Linked DNA regions of Tribolium castaneum. The protein of the gene in region 2 interacts with the protein of the main gene of each other region in a pairwise test. Links are inferred from orthologs where the notes say so. Each region holds a gene or a part of one and is shown on either strand. Other genes may lie near its edges. The genes, in order: RWD domain-containing protein 1 and developmentally-regulated GTP-binding protein 2.

Region 1 (4,529 bases), on a different chromosome or scaffold from region 2:
GGCACTTTCATTGCGATATCTACTGAGGTATCGAGAGCAGAATCTCTTTTATAAACGTGGTGGATAAACAACAGTCTAATCTGCTGATTCTTCGATAAAATCGAATTGAATTTGTCCTAATTCTCTTTTAATCCATTATTACGTCTTCAAATATTTGTTTAGTGGTTAAAAATCCAGCTTCAATAGTTTAATCCCGTGATATTTCATCCTTGAGTGATACAAGACTTTTGTCTATTATTATTAGTTGTGACAAAAGAGCTAACAAAAGTGAAAACGAATAAAAAATTAATCCTCGATAAAAATTAGTTTCATCAATAATTTTTTTAGAAATGTGTAAAAAGTGCCATAAATTGCGACTTCATAATTAATTACCCGATTTTAACAAATTACTGAATAAAAAATTTCTCAATATCGTACATATTTTTGAATTAATGGTCCGACTAATGCCATTCAAATACTTTCGTGTTAATTATTATTTATTACTTCTTGTTAGTGTGAATATAACGTTTGGGGCCCGTTTATAAAATGGTTTGTTAAAATTTAATTCGTTGTTAAAAGTTAACAACGCAAATCAAATCAAATTTGCTAATTTGTTAGTTGCAAATTAACTTAATGGCCCTTAGATATATATATATACAAAAATAAAAGTGTCTCAGATCATTGCAAAGCGCAAACAACGTTCTTTTTATCAAAACTAAATTACTTACATAATGAAATTTGTAAACGGTTTCTAATAATCTTAAGCAAAAAAATTTTTCTTAATTTCTGGGTTTCTGGGTCCATTAGTTATAACTATAACTATAAAGTCTACTTTTGTGCCCTATTTCAATAAAAAAAATGCAAATCCGCTGTTGCTATTTTCATTAAAAAGGTAGATCTTTAAATTTAAACAGTCAGTATACAGCGTGCTCAAAAACTGGCGCACCAACTCATTGGTGTGTGGTAGAGAACTGGTTACATATAAAGGTAAAAATAGTAAAAAAATTCTTTGAATTAAAGTTATTGATAAATAACTAATTTTAGGTAAATGATATGTGGCAACGTTGTCTAACAGTCATGATCGCAATAGAATTTGATCAACAATAAAAATAAATTATTTTTGAAACGGTTTACTAGGAAATAATTCCCAGTGTTGGCACATCTACACATTGTGATTTTTTGGATGAATTTTAATTTTTTTTAATTAAAAAAACTGCTAAAATCTGATAGTAAATTTAAAAATAATTATTCATCGTTTTGTTACGGAACGATTACCTGGTATGAAACATAGAAATATAAAAAAATAATGATAACTAAAGAAGTTAACACAATAAGTTTGTAGCTCAAGATTTTTTAAAATATGACTTTAGGAATTTTTTTAACATTTTTCCCGTGATCTACACGTGCTTCTCAACAACGTACCACTGCGTTGGTGCGCCAGTTTTTGAGCAGCCTGTAGATAAATCTAGATAATTCTTTTGTTCTACACACATTCACTGAAACTTGGTTAGATAATAACTTGATAATATCTATAATTACATACAAGTATATTATTCTCTAATTAAATTCAAAGTACCTAAATATAACAGAATCGATGATAATAATAAGTATGGATATTATGGAGTTATTTTAACAATTATTTTACTTATTTTTGGTAACAGTTCAGGTGGCAAAGACAACATTTCGAAAGCTAACAAAATTTTATTAGTTCGATAATTATAAGTGTTAAAAGGCTTTTTTTAATATTAAATTTGACCCTTTTTGCCATTAAAAAAAATCATGTTAGCCTTGTTTTTCCAAAACAAATGAAGACAGAAATTTGATAAACGTCTGAGACGATAGAATTTAAATCATTTAACGCATATACCAAATTCCAATACGTTTTGATGAATAGTTTTTATAATATTTAACTGAATTCATATTTTTTAGTACATACTTATTCTCAAATAAAATAATGCTGACTCACACAAATTTGGAAAAGGAAATCACCAATCATCCAAGTAAATAGTTTTACTTAATTTAACAATTACCCACTGAAATAGGTTGTTAATTGTCTGTGTCCAATCAATTAACTGAAGTTGCAGTGGCAGTTATTTAAAATATTTAAACCATTGTAATAACAGCAAGTGAAAGCTCACTTTTCAACATTGTAATTAAGAATAAAATTAATTTACTACCTAAGAAATTTTACTGTCAGTTATCATAAATAACACGAGATTTCTATTTTCAGATAACATTTTTATCACTTTTATCCCACTTTTATCGAGACTAACTACAAAAGAATTTGAACTCAAGGCATTTTATTTCATTTACAAAGGATAGGGTTTAATAATTGCAATTTTACTCGTTTATTATTAAAATAGATAGATAGATAGATTTTTTTGTATCAATACGTTGCAGAGGAGACCCGGACAAAGCCGACCCTGCACTTCTGACGATCGCTATCAACTATCAAAAAATTCTGTGAAATAAATAATGGGGCGAAAACTGCAATAATGCATTTGCGGAGCTGGACAAGATAAATTTTTTTAACATTGTTCCGACAACTAAAAGGCCATAATTTTCTTTTTAGAAAACGTCTTTTTTATTGTTGAATTAGTGGTCAAAAGGGCATTGTGTGACAAAACCGATTTCGGGGTGAAATGGGGCGAAAACTGCAATAGTGCATTTGCGGAGCTATAAATATTGAAATTAGGTGAAAAAGTGGGAAAAATTAAGAAGCAATTTGTGGTAAATAATTGAGTTTTTCGCTATTAGCAAAGTGACTTTCTTAAAATGTCATTTTTAAGAGGGTGTTTAGTGTTTTTTCGGATTTTTATTTTATTAAACGGTTTCAAAGCTGACAACCAAACATACATCTACGCAAATTGAAACGTATTTTGCTAGTGTGAAACTGGCTTCATGTTCGGGTTTCTTCGGAATTTCGAGGAGCTGGTTTGGGGAGCTGTCTTCACACAAATCACAACCTAACCTTAAACTAACTGTCACACAAGAATGGCCAGTTTTCTCAAAAGTATCAACATTTTCCACAATATTCAGCGTTTCTATACCAGAACGCGGCGCTACAATTGGGCCGAAGAAGGGGTTCAGTACCCAGGCTTTAAATACTACCCCAGGTGAGTTTGGAGAAATTGAGGTTATGTGGTGATTGTCTTGTCAGGTACCCCGACTTTAAGGACCCCCCGTACGAGCCATCGAAAGTGTTCCGGGTCCAGCGCATCAAAGCGCTCAAAGGGGTGCCCCACTACGAGAAAAAAATCCTGGCCGAGTTTCACTTAACGGGGAAACAGAGCGACGTTGTCATTGTTAAAAATATCCCCGAAAACAACCAGAGACTATGGAAGGTTAAGCACTTGGTGCAGATTAAACCGGTCACGTTCCCGGACGGCTTCCCCTCCAGCCCCAAGGGGGCTGTCCTGAAAGAAAACGGCGAATTGCGAGTCATGAAGACCTTGGAGCCGTCAGAAGAGCGCTTACAACTGGCGGAGAGTTTCAAGACAAAGGCTGAGCGCATGGATGGGGACACCCTCCGTAGAGACTCCCGGAGGAAGTGGTTAGATGCCTGGGACACGACTTTGTAAATCCTACCATTTATTATTAATAGCTAAGTCATACAAAACTTGAGTTAAAAACAAATTTTTGAAACTTATTTAGCCATGTGTTTGGTCATCTTCGACGAAATCCCTGGCCACTTCCCTCGTCACGCACTCCACATGACTCACTTTATTCCTGAACTTAACCCCGTAAAACTTATGGGCATGTTCCAACAATTCGGGCCTGAACGTTGTAGTGATAAACTGGGCTTCGCTCGACAATTCGTGGATCATATTCGCCACAGCTTTCCTATGCTGGGCGTCTAAAGCTTGATCAATTTCGTCAAATAGGTAAAACGGAGCAGGGTCACACTTTTGGATGGCGAAGATCAGGCCTAGGGCCACTAGCGACTTTTGCCCCCCTGACAACTGGTTCATTTCCTTCATCTCGGCGTCGGATTCCGTAAACGAGACCTTAATCCCGATCCCACTGAACTGGTCCGAGTTTGTGTCTTCCGGGCCCACATCCTTGCCCTCCTCATTATCGACTGTCTTCAGCACCAGCTTAGCCTTACCGGCAGGCACCAGTTTTTTGAAAACTTCCGAAAAGTACTTCGAGACTTGCTTGAAAGTGAACTGGATGGCCTCTAATTTGCGCTGTTCCAACATTGCGATCAGTTCTTTGATTTTTTCGCCACTAAAACATGTATAATTGGAAGTTAATTCAAACACCAAGTGGGTTTACCCGCGGTCTAGTTCCTCTTTACGTTTCTGCAACTTTTCCTTCTGATCGGAGAAACTCATAAACTGGTCCAGGGCCTTTTTGTTCACGTGACTGAATTTTTTCAGCTGGTTGTTGGTTTTTTCCAATTCTTTGAAAAGCTAAAATTTTGTTATTACGTGAATAAAATAGGCTTCACTTTGACAGAATTATTTATTACCGATCGTGACGACATTTTCACATAATGGGAGTACAAATCCTGGGCTGGGAGTGCCCCCAATTGGTTGATTTTTTCC
Region 2 (3,465 bases):
CTTACAGGGTGGAAACGGAGGCACAGCAGCCCCAAGAGGCCGCCGCTGAGGCAAGCAACGAGGGCCGAGAGGGAGAGAAGAAGGAGGAAGAGGAGGGTAATAATAGTAAATAAACGATTATTGGTGTAGTCATAGTTATTATAACGAAGTGTGCACTTCTTTCAATTCAATAAATCGATTTTCGTGTCAACATTCCACAGTTTGAGTAGAAGCACTTAGAAAACAAAACGAGAATTCAAATGTGTATTTTAGATTAAAGAAATGAGTGTTTCCTAACTAATAACGAAGTTTATGTAACATATCTTATGCTAATTACGGTTTCAAGAGTGTACTCTTTCAATGTATAGTCGGTTTTATTTATTTGAAGGTTGACTGAACTTTAGAATTGCTTTAATTTTTATATGTGAGGCGCAAGGCCAAGTCGGCCGGCTGAATAGGTTGTTCAGTATCTATAACATGTACTTTAAAAGTAAATATAGCTCGAAAAATGCATGGCCCATTTATTTGCCACCTTTGCAATATTACAGTGGAGTTCGGTTAACGAAGTAAAAAATCCAGTCAATAGAATCACCAAATACGGTAGGAAAGGGTGTTTTTTTTAATTAAATATATAAAATTTCGCCACTTAAAAAATGTTCGGAAATAACGGCCAGAAGTGTAAGAAAATCATTTAATAATATGCAGTAACAACGAATCTAATTACTTCTTAACTATTTGGATGACGTCCTCGTCGTGCATGACGTGGGAAGTGCCGACCCTTTGGGGCGAGTATTTGGTGCTCGTGCCCCAGACTAAGGCATACTTGAATTGCTGGGCGAGCGTTCTGTGGATTGCGTGACACACATGCTCCACTGTAACCCCCTTTCTCAGAATCAAGCCGTCGCTGAAATCCGGCGGCTGTCCCGGTTTTTTCGTATAAACGCGAATTAAATTTAAATACTCCCAGAGGACTTGAAGGAGGTAATCTAGGTTGAGCTTCATGTTGCAACTGACGACAACACTGTTCGGCTGTCTGGCTATTCTATCGACTTCCTCGATCGAAATCTGATCGATTTTATTATAAACGTAAAGGCATGGAAGATAGACGCGGTTCGCACAAATCACGTCGATTAACTCATCGGCAGTGCAGTCTTCCCTGAAGAGAACCTCAGCGTTGAAGATTTTGTACTCGTGCAGAATCATTTGCACGAGCTTTTCGTCGATTTTCGTCAAGGGACAAGTGGAATTGAACGAAATACCGCCCCCTTTTTTCACCTGTTAGTGTCAAGAATTAAATTACACAGCGAGACGGGCGCCAGACTTGCCTTGAAATAAATGTTGGGCTTCATTTTGTTCAGCCTAATCCCCACACTTTCCAATTCCTTTTCTAATAAGTGTCGGTGGACGTCCTTTTTCGTGGCGTCCAGCATCATGAGGACCAAGTCGGCCGTGCGTGCCACCGCTATCACCTGCCGCCCCCTGCCCTTGCCCTGGGCAGCCCCCTCGATAATCCCGGGCAAATCGAGCAGCTGGATATTGGCCCCATTGTAGTCGATCACGCCCGGGATGCACGTCAAGGTCGTGAATTCGTACGACGCTGCCTCGCTTTCCGTCTTCGTTAAAGTTGACAACAAAGTGGACTAGAAAAAACATGAAACGACAGGTCAGGGGGTTCCCAAAACTCACTTTTCCGACTGACGGGAAGCCGATCAAGGCCACACGCGCATCCCCACTTTTTAAAACGTCGAAACCTTCACCTTTTTCCGATTTTTTCGAAGGCTCCAAGAGCTGGGAACGGTATTTTGCAAGTTTGGCTTTGAGGAGCCCTAAGTGGTACTCGGTGGCTGAAATAGGCCAATAAAACAACACAAAAGGGGGCGAAGTGTCTCCTGTACCTTTATTTTTTTGCGTGCGAGAGATTTCCTTCTCGATTTCCGAGATTTTTTCCAAAATTCCCATTTTCTGGCACGTTTTATTCCGGTTTGTTTGACATTTGGCACGATTGGCACCACTGTTTGGTGTAAATATAACCTCAAGTTTTGCTATTTATTTTGGGGCTAAAGGGTGTTAAAATGGGGCGCAAAATTCCAGGCCGGAAGCATAGGGGGGTCCGAGACCCCGAGAAACAACGTGCGGAGCGCGAGAAAAGGTACAACGTTGTTCGGTCTGGCATAACCTTACTTTGGCACGTTTCAGTCTTAAGGATAAAATAAACGCGCCCCCGAGTAACCCAGACGAACAGTACGTTCCTAAAAGTCTGCAAAGGATCGCCGAGCTTAAGGCGAAGGTTAAAAGTGGCGATTTTTTGCGCAAAAAGGTGAAAAAACCGCGTCCGAAGCCATTCTTTAAACAAGGTCCGAATGAGTCAGATAAACAGTTTTTGTATCGGGTGCACAAGCACTGTGCGATGGTTAAACACGAGGCGGCTTTTGAGGAAAAATTTGGGGTTGAGGTTCAGAGGAATGCAGAGGGGGAGATAGAAGGGGTTAAAAAACGGGCTAAAGACCCCGTGCAAGTGATGGTTAAAGAAGCAAAACAGGCCAAGAAGAAGAAGAAGGAAGAAGGGCCTAAATTAACAAAGTCGCAAAAAAGGAGATTAAAATTAAACGAAAAGAAGCAGAAGAGAATTAATGATAAAGTTGATGAGTTTGAGAAGTTTCAAGATAGGGTTAAGTTTGGGGAACAAGTGCATGAACCACCTACATTGACTGCGCCCCGGAAGGTTAAAACGGGGGGCGAAGCCCCACGAGTAAGTCACGCTTTCGCATACATTTTAATGAATTTGAAATTAAGTTGGCAACATTGTCACTCATTCCGGAGGGGTGGCCGCGTAACTGTTGCCAACCCAAATTCGAGCCCCAAAAGTTGAATTTTTATTATTTATTTTGCGAAATAAACTAAGTTTTTAACTGAAAAAACGTGCTTTAACCAAATTTCACTCAAAGTCGAACTAAATACCAACAATTTCGAGTTATTTTTTTAATTTTTGAGCGTGCTTTGACAAGTCTACGGAGGACTATAACTTAGGAAACGAATAAATCGCAGATTTCTGTACCCAAAAAAATAGTACGGGTGGGGAAAATGAGGGCGCTTCGAGCGTTATACCGAAAAAAATGCAGAAATGTTGAGTTCTGCATTCTCCACAAACTGACCTCTAAAATTTTGATGAGAAATATGGGAAAAAATTATTAAAATTTGCGCTTCGTCTCGTATTTTTAAAACGCTGCAAACTGTAGACAATTAAATTTTCTTTAAAAAGTCCTCAAGACCATATTTCTATCTTCTGAGTAAACCAGTGTTGCCAATTTAATTTGAAAATAACAAACGTAATTTAAAAAACAAAATTTTAGCCCGGCAAAAAAGACTTGTTGTTGAAGTCTGTTCTAAACAAAACCAGTAATAAAGTGATTGATAAAACGGGAAAAAGGAAAGACTTGCCAAACGCCCTTAGGAGACAACTTGATAAACAACAGAAGGAAGTGATTG

What was found.
Region 1: the proteins of developmentally-regulated GTP-binding protein 2 (region 2) and RWD domain-containing protein 1 interact in binary tests that used the Homo sapiens proteins (3 or more experiments, as listed by UniProt). The link is inferred for Tribolium castaneum from reciprocal best matches to the Homo sapiens genes DRG2 and RWDD1.

What each region holds. Positions count from the first base shown.
Region 1 is NC_087400.1:602,433-606,961, forward strand, and holds the start of RWD domain-containing protein 1, read right to left. Parts: upstream 2,974-4,529; 5' UTR 2,946-2,973; intron 1-2,945. Other genes in the region: large ribosomal subunit protein uL30m, read left to right, coding at 2,974-3,095, 3,140-3,560; SMC3 (structural maintenance of chromosomes protein 3), read right to left, coding at 3,630-4,209, 4,258-4,394, 4,454-4,529. UniProt on the Homo sapiens protein: Protects DRG2 from proteolytic degradation.
Region 2 is NC_087399.1:1,997,397-2,000,861, reverse strand, and holds developmentally-regulated GTP-binding protein 2, read right to left. Parts: upstream 1,991-3,465; 5' UTR 1,939-1,990; coding exon 1,875-1,938; intron 1,824-1,874; coding exon 1,666-1,823; intron 1,620-1,665; coding exon 1,305-1,619; intron 1,255-1,304; coding exon 700-1,254; 3' UTR 657-699; downstream 1-656. Other genes in the region: lysosomal-associated transmembrane protein 4B, read left to right, coding at 1-113; coiled-coil domain-containing protein 137, read left to right, coding at 2,052-2,128, 2,176-2,728, 3,330-3,465. UniProt on the Homo sapiens protein: Catalyzes the conversion of GTP to GDP through hydrolysis of the gamma-phosphate bond in GTP. When hydroxylated at C-3 of 'Lys-21' by JMJD7, may bind to RNA and play a role in translation.